Mus musculus: one gene and its partners. The main gene of each other region encodes a partner of the protein of the gene in region 2 in a complex. Links are inferred from orthologs where the notes say so. Each region holds a gene or a part of one and is shown on either strand. Other genes may lie near its edges. The genes, in order: E2f4, Mybl2 and Lin52.

Region 1 (2,757 bases), on a different chromosome or scaffold from region 2:
GTTTTTGTTTGTTTGTTTGGTTGGTTGGTTTTGGTTTTTTTTTTTTTTTGGACTCCACAAGAAGCTTTCTGTGTGATGGCGTGCTGTGCTAAGAATTAGAAGTCCTTGAGTCCCCACTGAGCTTTCCCTGGTGTCACAGTGAATGTGCCCCTTTAAATTACTCTTTTCATTTATTATTATACATAAGTACACTGTAGCTGACTTCAGACACATCAGAAGAGGGCATGGTTGTGAGCCACCATGTGGTTGCTGGGATTTGAACTCAGGACCTCCGGAAGAGCAGTCAGTGCTCTTAACCACTGAGCCATCTCTCCAGCCCTGAATATGCCCTTTCTAACAAGGAAGCTTTGACTCTATAGGCAACATTACTAGGGCAGTTTATCCCAAATTGGACAGTGTCTGACGGATCCTGGTGACCCCATGAGTCTCCCTCCTCCAAGACTTGTGTTCTATAGTGATCTTTTCTAGATGTTTCTTGGTAACTAGTCTAAGTCTCCTTCGGTTTGGTTACCACACTGGTTGTCCTGGCCATAGGATCTAGCCTATGGCAGCTGTACAATCCAGTTCCTGACTGTGTGGTTTGGGATGTGGTTGCAGTGAGTGGTAGCCCTGGAACTGAGAACAAGGACAGTGGTGAAGTCAGCTCACTCCCACTGGGCCTGACAGCACTGGACACTCGGCCTCTGCAGTCCTCTGCACTGCTGGATAGTAGTAGCAGCAGCAGCAGCAGCAGCAGTAGCAGCAGCAGCAGTTCATCTGGACCCAACCCTTCTACCTCCTTTGAGCCCATCAAAGCAGACCCCACAGGCGGTGAGTACTTACTGAGAGGTGGGGGCTAGCAGGGAGAGTCTAGCCCTAGCCCATTGTTGTATCAAACACTTGGAGTTGGGAGTTCCTTTCCTGCTAAGCTCAGCTCTCTGCCAGCCAGAGAAGGATGTCTAATCTCAGGGTCAGTGCTGGTGCCTCTTGCTCCTTCCTGGGACTCCATTTCCCTCTGCTGCCACTTGGAACATCACTAATTGAGATTTGCTACTCTTTGTATTCACCTCACCTTTCTGTTTTCCTTTTTTTTTTTTTTAAAGATTTATTTATTATATGTAAGTACACTGTAGCTGTCTTCAGACACACCAGAAGAGGGCGTCAGATCTTGTTACGGATGGTTGTTAGCCACCATGTGGTTGCTGGGACTTGAACACTGGACCTTTGGAAGAGCAGTCGGGTACTCTTACCCACTGAGCCATCTCACCAGCCCCTGTTTTCCTTTCTTTGTGTGGATGCCTTTAAAATTAGGCCGTACCACAGTGGGGTAGCTCTGCTGCTGTTGGTGTAGTGCCTGGCCCAGCAGGTTTCTAAGGTCGAGATCTGGTGCTTTCTTGGTCTCTGCTGATGCTCTTTCCTCCTTTGTCTTTACTGTCAGCTCTTGGCTTTTCTACCTCACTGGCATCTGACAGTTCCTTAGTTATTGGTACTTACCATTTTATATCTGGGGTGGGCCTCAGCTCTGGGGAGCTGATAGTAGGTTTCAGCCTCTACATAGTGTAGCTCTGTTACCCAGTCTTCTATGTCTTGCATCTGTCTTCTGCACCTCTGAACTTAACCATCCTGCTTCCACTTTGCCTTTCAAGTTCTGAGTGGACTCTATCAGCTGGCTCTAGTCACCACCAGGCTTAAGACGTCTCTGTGTCCTCTCAGTTCTGGATCCCTCGGCTACCCACTTTACATGGGTTAGGTAAAGTCTGCGAAGCATCTCTTCTCATCCCTCTTAGATCCTCAGCACACCAGAAAACTATATGCCATTTTAATTTTAATTTATAGTCATCCTTTAGAACATTTTATCTAATCTATATCTACCTATCAGTAATTTCATATATTTATGCTTTTTTTTTTTTTTTTTGTCTGAGACAGGGTCTCTGTGTAGCTGTGGTTGTCCTGGAACTTGCTGTGTAGACCAGGCTGGCCTCTGCCTCGGGGATTGTGGGATTAAAAGATGTGTGCCACAGCCAGCTCTCTATATTTTGACCATTTACAAAATGACCCCCTTTGCCCTCCTAGTACTTCCTTCCTCTTCCATTCTCATGTTCTCATTCTAGTGAGCACTACATGTATGCACAGATCCAAAGACAATGACTCCCTCTTTCCCAGCTAGTCGGATGGCTTGATCTTGTGTAGGTAACCATAGAGGCTTGTGAGTTCATGAGTACAGTGACCATGTTAAATCCAGAAGATGGTCTTTCACAATGCTCTTCCCCATCCTGTGGCTTGTACAATCTTTCTTACTCTCTTTAGCAATATTCCCTGAACTTTAGGCAGAGCGCCCAACATAATCTCAGCAGTTTATCAGTTATGAGTTTCTGCATTGACTCCTGCCATTTTCTCTAAGCAACAAAGAAGCATAAAAATTGAGGAGGCAGTTTGGTAATGTGTGCATTTAACAAAGCAACAGCAGTAAGTTCCCCCTAGGGTCAACAATCTCTCTAGCCATGGTGTTTGACAAGGTTTACAGTATCAGTCTGGTAGGAATTACTTCCTGTGGAGCTGGCCTTAAAGACAAGGAAAGGGGTTGGTTGCCCTCATAAGTTACGCCACTACTGTACCAGGAGGCACATTGCCACATTGCCAGGTAGGTTGGTATTATATCGTGCATGGTCTATTGCCTGTTAACCCATTAAACCATCCTTTTCTTTCTTTCTTTCTTTCTTTTTTTTTTTTTGTGGATTTTTTTTCAAGACAGGGTTTCTCTGTGTAGCTCTGGCTGTC
Region 2 (3,429 bases):
TGCCTCCCAAGTGCTGGGATTAAAGGCGTGCGCCACCACGCCCAGCGGTTCTTTAGTTTTTTGGGGTTTTTTTTTAATTATTTATTTTTTGTATATGAGTACACTGTAGCTATCTTCAGACACACCAGAAGAGGACATCGGATGGTTGTGAGCCACCACGTGGTTGCTGGGAATTGAACTCAGGACCTCAGGAAGAGCAGTCAGTACTCTTAACCGCTGAGCCACCTCTCCAGCCCGGTTCTTTAGTTTTTTGATAGAACTTTTGTCTACGAAGCCCAGGATTTGGTGTTATGGTAAAAAAAAAATCATTGTGACCAAAAACAACGTAGGAACGATTGGGTTTATTACAGCTTACAGTTAAAGTCCGTCACCGAGGGAACCCAGGGCAGGAATCTGATGCAGAGGCCGTGGAGGAGTGTTGTATACTTGCTTGCTCTATATGGCTTGCTCAGTTGCTTTCTTATATACTCCTGGACCATCTGCCCAAGCGGGACACAGCCTACACTGGGCCCACCCATATCAGTCTCTAGTGAAGAAAGCACCCCCACAGATTTGCCTATAGCCCAGTCTCATTGGGAGATGGCTCTAGTTTGTATCAAGTTAATGGAAAACTAACCAACACACCTGGAATGTCCCTGAACTTGCCCAGGGCTCATTCCTCTGCCTTGGCATCACAGGTGCTGAGGTCATATAGAAGGTGCCGTCCAAAATTCCTGGGTTCAAGGGATGCTTCTGCCTCCACACTTGACTAGCCGGGACTTGGCATAAGTGTGGGCTCAAGAATCTGGACTCTTAATGACTGCCATGGTGTGGGTCGGGCTCTCGGTGTGAGCCTGAGTTTCTATTCTGGACATAACTGCTGCCCAGGACCATGGGTGCAGAGCTGCTCTGTGCATACATAGACCTTCAGGGTTAAGTAGGCTTCATCCATTTGTCTAAGGCAGGGCAGTTAATGGTTATGAGCAATGCACGTGAGATCATCATGCTCTCGTGGGCTCTCTTAGACCTATGCCGCCCGAGCGGGCCTCCTGCGCTCACCCTCGCCTCTGTCCACAGCCGCAGACTCCGCACCTGGAGGAGGACTTGAAGGAGGTGCTCCGTTCTGAGGCCGGCATGGAGCTCATCATTGAGGATGACATGAGGCCCGAGAAGCAGAAGAGAAAGCCTGGGGTAAGTGGCTGTGGGCTTGAGACCCTTACCTCCGCACGGGCAGTCTGCATAGAAAGTCAGACCTGAGGGAAGGCAGGAGGACCCATGAGATGCCTTACATCCTGGCTTCTCACCTGGGTCCTGCCGTACTTTGAATGATGCAGCCCTTCATCCAGCATTGTGACTGGGCATCCTGAAGTGAGCCCGACTGTGTGTGGCGGCTGTCGTCGTGGTCGGGCGAGAGGATGGAGAAAGGCATACAGCACACGCTTCATGGCCGTCTGAATCCCTGTGGAATGAGAGGCAGTAGACAGGACAGATCCTAGGGGTTTCTTTCAGGAGGTAGTCAGGGTGGGTGGCTCGGCCATGAAAGTAGCACAGGGTGTCATTGAGTGAGGCGTGACTGACAGGCTGCGGTGCAGGCCCCGGGCTCAGGTGAGCTTCCTTCCCGTTGTACTGTCTCTATCTAGCACTTGTAGCCACAGGTGGCGCTCGGACTCTCTCCGTGTTTCTGTGCTTTATTCTAGACTGCTCTAAGGAGGGATGATGGTTAAAGCTAGGCAGTGAGGCTAGGAAGAATCCCAGTGTCTGGCAGGGTAGGTCCCTCCTGGGTCAGAGTCTGATGTAGCTGAGGGCTCCTGGTCTTTCCGTATCCCTGGAGCAAGAGCTGCTAGCTAGGCTTTGAGAGCGGCACTTACAAAGTCCTGACTCTGACTGTAGTCACTGAGGTGGGGGCTCGGACTCTCTCCGTGTTTCTGTGCTTTATTCTAGACTGCTCTAAGGAGGGATGATGGTTAAAGCTAGGCAGTGAGGCTAGGAAGAATCCCAGTGTCTGGCAGGGTAGGTCCCTCCTGGGTCAGAGTCTGATGTAGCTGAGGGCTCCTGGTCTTTCCGTATCCCTGGAGCAAGAGCTGCTAGCTAGGCTTTGAGAGCGGCACTTACAAAGTCCTGACTCTGACTGTAGTCACTGAGGTGCTGGCCCTGGGGGCCTGACTGCCGATCCCGACGTCATTTGTCTTCCGAACCCTCAGCTGCGGCGAAGCCCTATCAAGAAGGTCCGCAAGTCTCTGGCTCTCGACATTATGGATGAAGATGGGAAGCTGATGTCCTCTACCATGCCCAAACCCCTGTCCTTGGTAAGGGGCTGACAGTGGCCGCCGGCCTCACAGGTCTTCAGGAACCTTCTGCCTTTGGAGCTGTCTAGTCATGGAGGGGACACTTGAGGTGGAGTGTCCACCAGCTGCGCTCAGTGTTGGGAAGATTGGTGGGAGGTGCTGGGCCTAGGCACCTGGCTTGAGCTCACTAAGCAGTCCTAATGTCTTTCCTGGGTTTTATTTGGCAGGAGTTATATGCCAGACTGCCATGGGCTCGTCCTTCTCACTGAGGTCAACCATGTGTGCCCCCAAGCACATCCTATGGCTGAGGCATAACCCCAAGTGGCTGCTGTCTGTCTGGTCTGTAGGTCAGCCTTGCTCTTCTGGGCATAGAAGTCACTGCCTTTAAGAGCCAGATGCGCCGGGCAATGGTGGCGCATCCCTTTTTAAACCCAGCACTTGGAAGGAAGAGGCAGGCGGATTTCTGAGTTCAAGGCCAGCCTGGTCTACAGAGTGAGTTCCAGGACAGCCAGGACTACACAGAGAAACCCTGTCTCCAAAAACAAACAAACAAGAGCAAAATGCTGTGAGGCTGGTCCCTTGCAGCTGATGGGATGTGGCCTGGTTTCACTAAACTGGTGACATGGCCGTTCTGTGATATAGTTAAGGGGGAGGTTTTTAGTACTTAATGAGAGCAGCCCTGAGGGGCATCTGGAGTCCAGGGCAGAGAGAGAAAGCTGACTGAACATGAACAGCAGGCTAGATGTAGCCAGGGGAGTGTGAGTGTGGGGAGAATGGCAGGTGAAGAAAGAGAAACCATGGTGAGCATGGCAGTGTCCTAAGGATGAGGAGCTGCGGGGAGGCCAGGGTGTGTGTGTTGCTGGGGGGGGGGGGGGGGGGCTGGAGTTTAGGGGAGGGGAGATAGGACTGGGATGCTTTGAACGCCTGTATGACAGGTACTTGAGATACCGAGGGAGCCTGGAGGCCATCCTAGACCGTAGATACAGATATGTATGGTACCTATTTGTCCCTTCTGCCTGAGGGACGGAGCTTCACAAGAAACCCTTCTGTAGGCCAGGCTGCGCTCTCTTGGACTTGGGATTGGAGTTTCCTCCAGCCCTGGCCCCAGTACAGGGAATAGTGGGGTCGGGGGAGCATGAATGAAGGATATGAATTGCTAAACATA
Region 3 (3,653 bases), on a different chromosome or scaffold from region 2:
GGAGGTCATAGCAGGGACACATAGAAGTGGGACGGTCTGGCAAAGGGAAGCTTGATAACAGTAGTTTCAATGCACTAGGGACTGAACTAAGAGTTTTATAGGTTAGAGGGTGTAGGTCCTGGGGAGATGATACATTGTAGGTAAGCAGCTAGCTTTGCAAATATGAGGACCTGAGTTGGAAGCCAGGCATGGTTGTACCACCAGCTCTGTGGGTGTGGGGAGGGTATGCCCAGAAACAGCTGGATCCTGAGAGCATGCTGGCCAGCTAGCTTCTTAGTGAGCCACTAATAGACAAAATAAAAACATTTAGCATCCTTTTTGGTGTTTATTGTCATATGCCTATTTGTAGACTTATTACATCCATATATGCATGTGTGCATGCACACACACACACAGAGTGTGAGGTGTGAGAGTAAGGACAACGGGATACCCAGGAGGGAGGCTATGAGTTTAAAGGGAGAGTTTGCATGTTTCTGTGTGTGTCTGCACTCAGACATGCATATGGATACTGGTGCATGTGTGTACATACATGTGGAGACTTGGTTAACATTAAGTATAGTTTCGCTCTTTCTCTCATTTGTTTACTTATTTTTATGAGACAGGGTTTCACTATGTAGCCCTGGCTGTCCTGGGTCTTACTTTGTGTACAGGCTGGCCTCAAACTCAAAGATCTACCTGCTTCTGCCTCCCTTGTGCTGGGATTAAAGTCATTCACCACCATCACACAGCAAAGTGCTCTTTTAATAAGTGAAAAGGGAGATAAATTCTAGATCAGGCTTGCTTGTTGGCTCTGAGTCTAAAATAGAAACTTCTGCTACAAGAAGACTGTCTGAAGTGCTTATTAAAGCTGAAGACAGTGGTCTACAGTCAAGATTATCTTTGTTGAGAGCAGTGACACTTAGCTGACTGTAACTGGAGACAAGTTGAAGAGTGTAGGAAGACAGGTGGGTTTGCTGACACTCTTCTTTACAAGGGGTTTTGCTGTAGTCTGGGCTGGTCTCTCAATGCTCCTGCCTTAGTCTCCCAAATGCTGGGATTATATGTGTCAATCACCATGTCCACCTGATACCCATTTAAAAAAAAGTTTATGTGTATAGGTATTTTGATTGCATGTATTTCTTTGTACTACATGTATGCTAATTGGAATTATGGACAGTTGTTAGCTGCATGAGGTGCTGCGGATTGAACATAGGACCTCTGGAAGAGCAATCCATGCTCTTAACCACTGAGCCCTGATTTACTTACTTACTTACTTTCTTTCTTTCTTTCTTTCTTTCTTTTTTTTTTTTTTTTTTTTTTTTTGGTTTTTCGAGACAGGGATTCTTTGTATAGCCCTGGCTGTCCTGGAGCTCACTTTGTAGACCAGGCTGGCCTTGAACTCAGAAATCCTCCTGCCTCTGCCTCCCGAGTGCTGGGATTAAAGGCGTATGCCACCCCGCCTGGCTGAGCCCTGACTTTCTTTTTCTTTTTCTTTTCTTTTTTTTTTTTTTTGTTTGTTTGTTTGTTTTTTTCTTTTGAGACCTGACTTTCTTAAACACTTATTTTAATAAAGTGGAAGTCTGAGTTTTGATGAGGGAGAATCAAATTTATTTGTATTACATCATGCCCCAATAGGGCTTCAGGGAATCAATAGTTGAGACCTCTGAACTTCTAATTGAGTGTTTCAGGCTATGTTCTTTGAGATTGAAATATAATAAAATGAGAATGAATGCATTTCTCATCCCATCTTGGTGTTTGGTTCTAGGGACGGATTTGGAAGCATCTTTGCTAAGTTTTGAGAAACTTGACCGTGCCTCACCAGATCTCTGGCCAGAACAGCGTGAGTTATGACTTTTCTCATAGTAGAATTGACGCAGGAGAGCCGGCGCTCCCTTGGGAGAATTTTATAGTGTTATCATGGATCTGATGACTAAAATTTTTATTTTGGTTTAAAGAGAAGAGATTGATGTACAGTAAAAATAGGGACTTAGTGGTTTAACTTTTCAGAACATTGCAAGAAGTGATAATGAGCTTTTAAACAAAATTATAGTTTTAAAACGATATATCTGAATTTCAGACAATACTGAGATGCACAAAGCATTTGTTCATCTCCTTTAGTGAAATAGTTAAATATTGTTTGTAATTTTATTACAGACTTGTTTGGACTTTTTTATACGTGTACAGATAAGCATATACATATGTATGTTATGTATTGTCTGCATGTATATCACACAGGAATTTTTGGTTTTCATAGTGATGATGTAATATGTATAGAGCTTTCAGCTTAACTTATTTCAACAGGAAATTTGATGGATCGTTCCATGTTGATCTTTGTAGGTCTGCTTCATTGTTTTATGTATATTACAGTGGACAGGTATATTCTAGCTTCTATATTCACATTCTATTTGGAAACCTAACTTACCTCATTTGTATTTCACAGGCAGTGTATCAGTGAGTATCCTTGCATATCTATCCTGTATGTAGAAGAGGATGACTGCCCATTTTCTCACTAGCCAGTGTCACTCCTCATTGTTATGTTTAACTTGCATTTCTTTTAGGTTAAATTATATTCATTATTGGGCTGAGGGAAGCAGCCACGTGCCATGACGCATGTGTGGAAATCAGAGGACAGCTGGTCCGAGTCAGTTCTGGCCTTTTACCATAAGCCTGAGACTCTACAGTTCAGGTTGTTGGCTTGGTGGCAAGTGCCTCTCTCCACTGAGCCCCAGCTTGTATTTCTTAGTTAACAGAATTGAACATTATTTCCCTCTACCTTTGTATTTTAGCTGCTTTGCTTTTTAATGTGGTAGTATCCATGAGGCATTTGCATAAATAAACCAAACAGGACAACTGAAAAGAATGTTTAGCTTATTTATATTACTTATTTATTAGTAGCCCTGGGGTTCAAACCAAGGTCATGTGCATGCTAGAAAAGCACTCTATCCTTGGTCTAAATCGCTAGCTCTGGAGAGGGGGTTAAAACTGAGGCGAGAGATAGCTTACTGTTCTCAGGCCCAGTCCTGGCCCTTTAAAGCGGGAGGCAGTGGTTTCTCAGAGAAGCTTCTTCCGCCCCTTCGCTCCCATGAGAGCTTATTTGTTTGTTCTTGTCTTCCTGTGACACCTGATGCTTTTCTGAAGTGCTTAAGTGATGCTGATAATATATGCTCTGTCTTTTTCTAGAGTGTAAGCTACTTGAAGGCAAGATTTGGTTTTCAGTTTTTTAGGTTTTTGGTTTGTCCGTTTGTGTTTTGTTCTTTTCAGACAAGGTTTCTTTGTGTAGCCATGGCTGGCCTGGAACTTGCTCTATAGCCCAGAGTGGCCTTGAACTCACAGAGATCCCCCTGTGTCAGCCTCCTGAGTGCTGGGATTAAAGGTGTGCACCACCACCATCACCCAGCATTTCTTTATTATTTAAGTCCTCAGTGCCTAAACACAAATGCTTCCTACATGAGTAACTTTTTTTTCTTTTTTAGTACCAGGTGTCGCTGAATTTGCAGCTTCTTTCAAAAGTGTAAGTAAAACAACTTCTGTCTGTGGAAGTTTATCCAAAGTTTGCTCTTGGGTAAAAGGCTCAAATCTTTATTTTCAAGACTAGTGTCATAGTCTTCTAATCCTTTTTTGACTTTAGACTTTTAAATATGTTTAGATTATCAGACTGCTAGCTGCTGATAATC

The links.
Region 1: Mybl2 (region 2) and E2f4 share a complex: the UniProt entries of both Homo sapiens proteins name them as parts of the DREAM complex. The link is inferred for Mus musculus from reciprocal best matches to the Homo sapiens genes MYBL2 and E2F4.
Region 3: the proteins of Mybl2 (region 2) and Lin52 are in contact, whole or in part, in a crystal structure (PDB 6C48), measured with the Homo sapiens proteins. The link is inferred for Mus musculus from reciprocal best matches to the Homo sapiens genes MYBL2 and LIN52. Residues at the interface, in NP_002457.1 of Homo sapiens: Trp663, Val666, Ala667, Gly669, Thr671, Asp673, Gln674, Phe676, Lys680, Ala681, Gln683, Leu684; in NP_001019845.2 of Homo sapiens: Gln84, Ala87, Tyr88, Gly91, Leu92, Glu94, Ser95, Met98, Thr99, Lys102, Phe103, Leu107, Glu108, Lys109.

What each region holds. Positions count from the first base shown.
Region 1 is NC_000074.6:105,300,656-105,303,412, forward strand, and holds part of E2f4 (transcription factor E2F4), read left to right. Parts: intron 1-597; coding exon 598-810; intron 811-2,757. UniProt on the Homo sapiens protein: Transcription activator that binds DNA cooperatively with DP proteins through the E2 recognition site, 5'-TTTC[CG]CGC-3' found in the promoter region of a number of genes whose products are involved in cell cycle regulation or in DNA replication.
Region 2 is NC_000068.7:163,078,538-163,081,966, forward strand, and holds part of Mybl2 (myb-related protein B), read left to right. Parts: intron 1-1,056; coding exon 1,057-1,170; intron 1,171-2,180; coding exon 2,181-2,285; intron 2,286-3,429. UniProt on the Homo sapiens protein: Transcription factor involved in the regulation of cell survival, proliferation, and differentiation. Transactivates the expression of the CLU gene.
Region 3 is NC_000078.6:84,454,497-84,458,149, forward strand, and holds part of Lin52 (protein lin-52 homolog), read left to right. Parts: intron 1-1,744; coding exon 1,745-1,819; intron 1,820-3,452; coding exon 3,453-3,490; intron 3,491-3,653.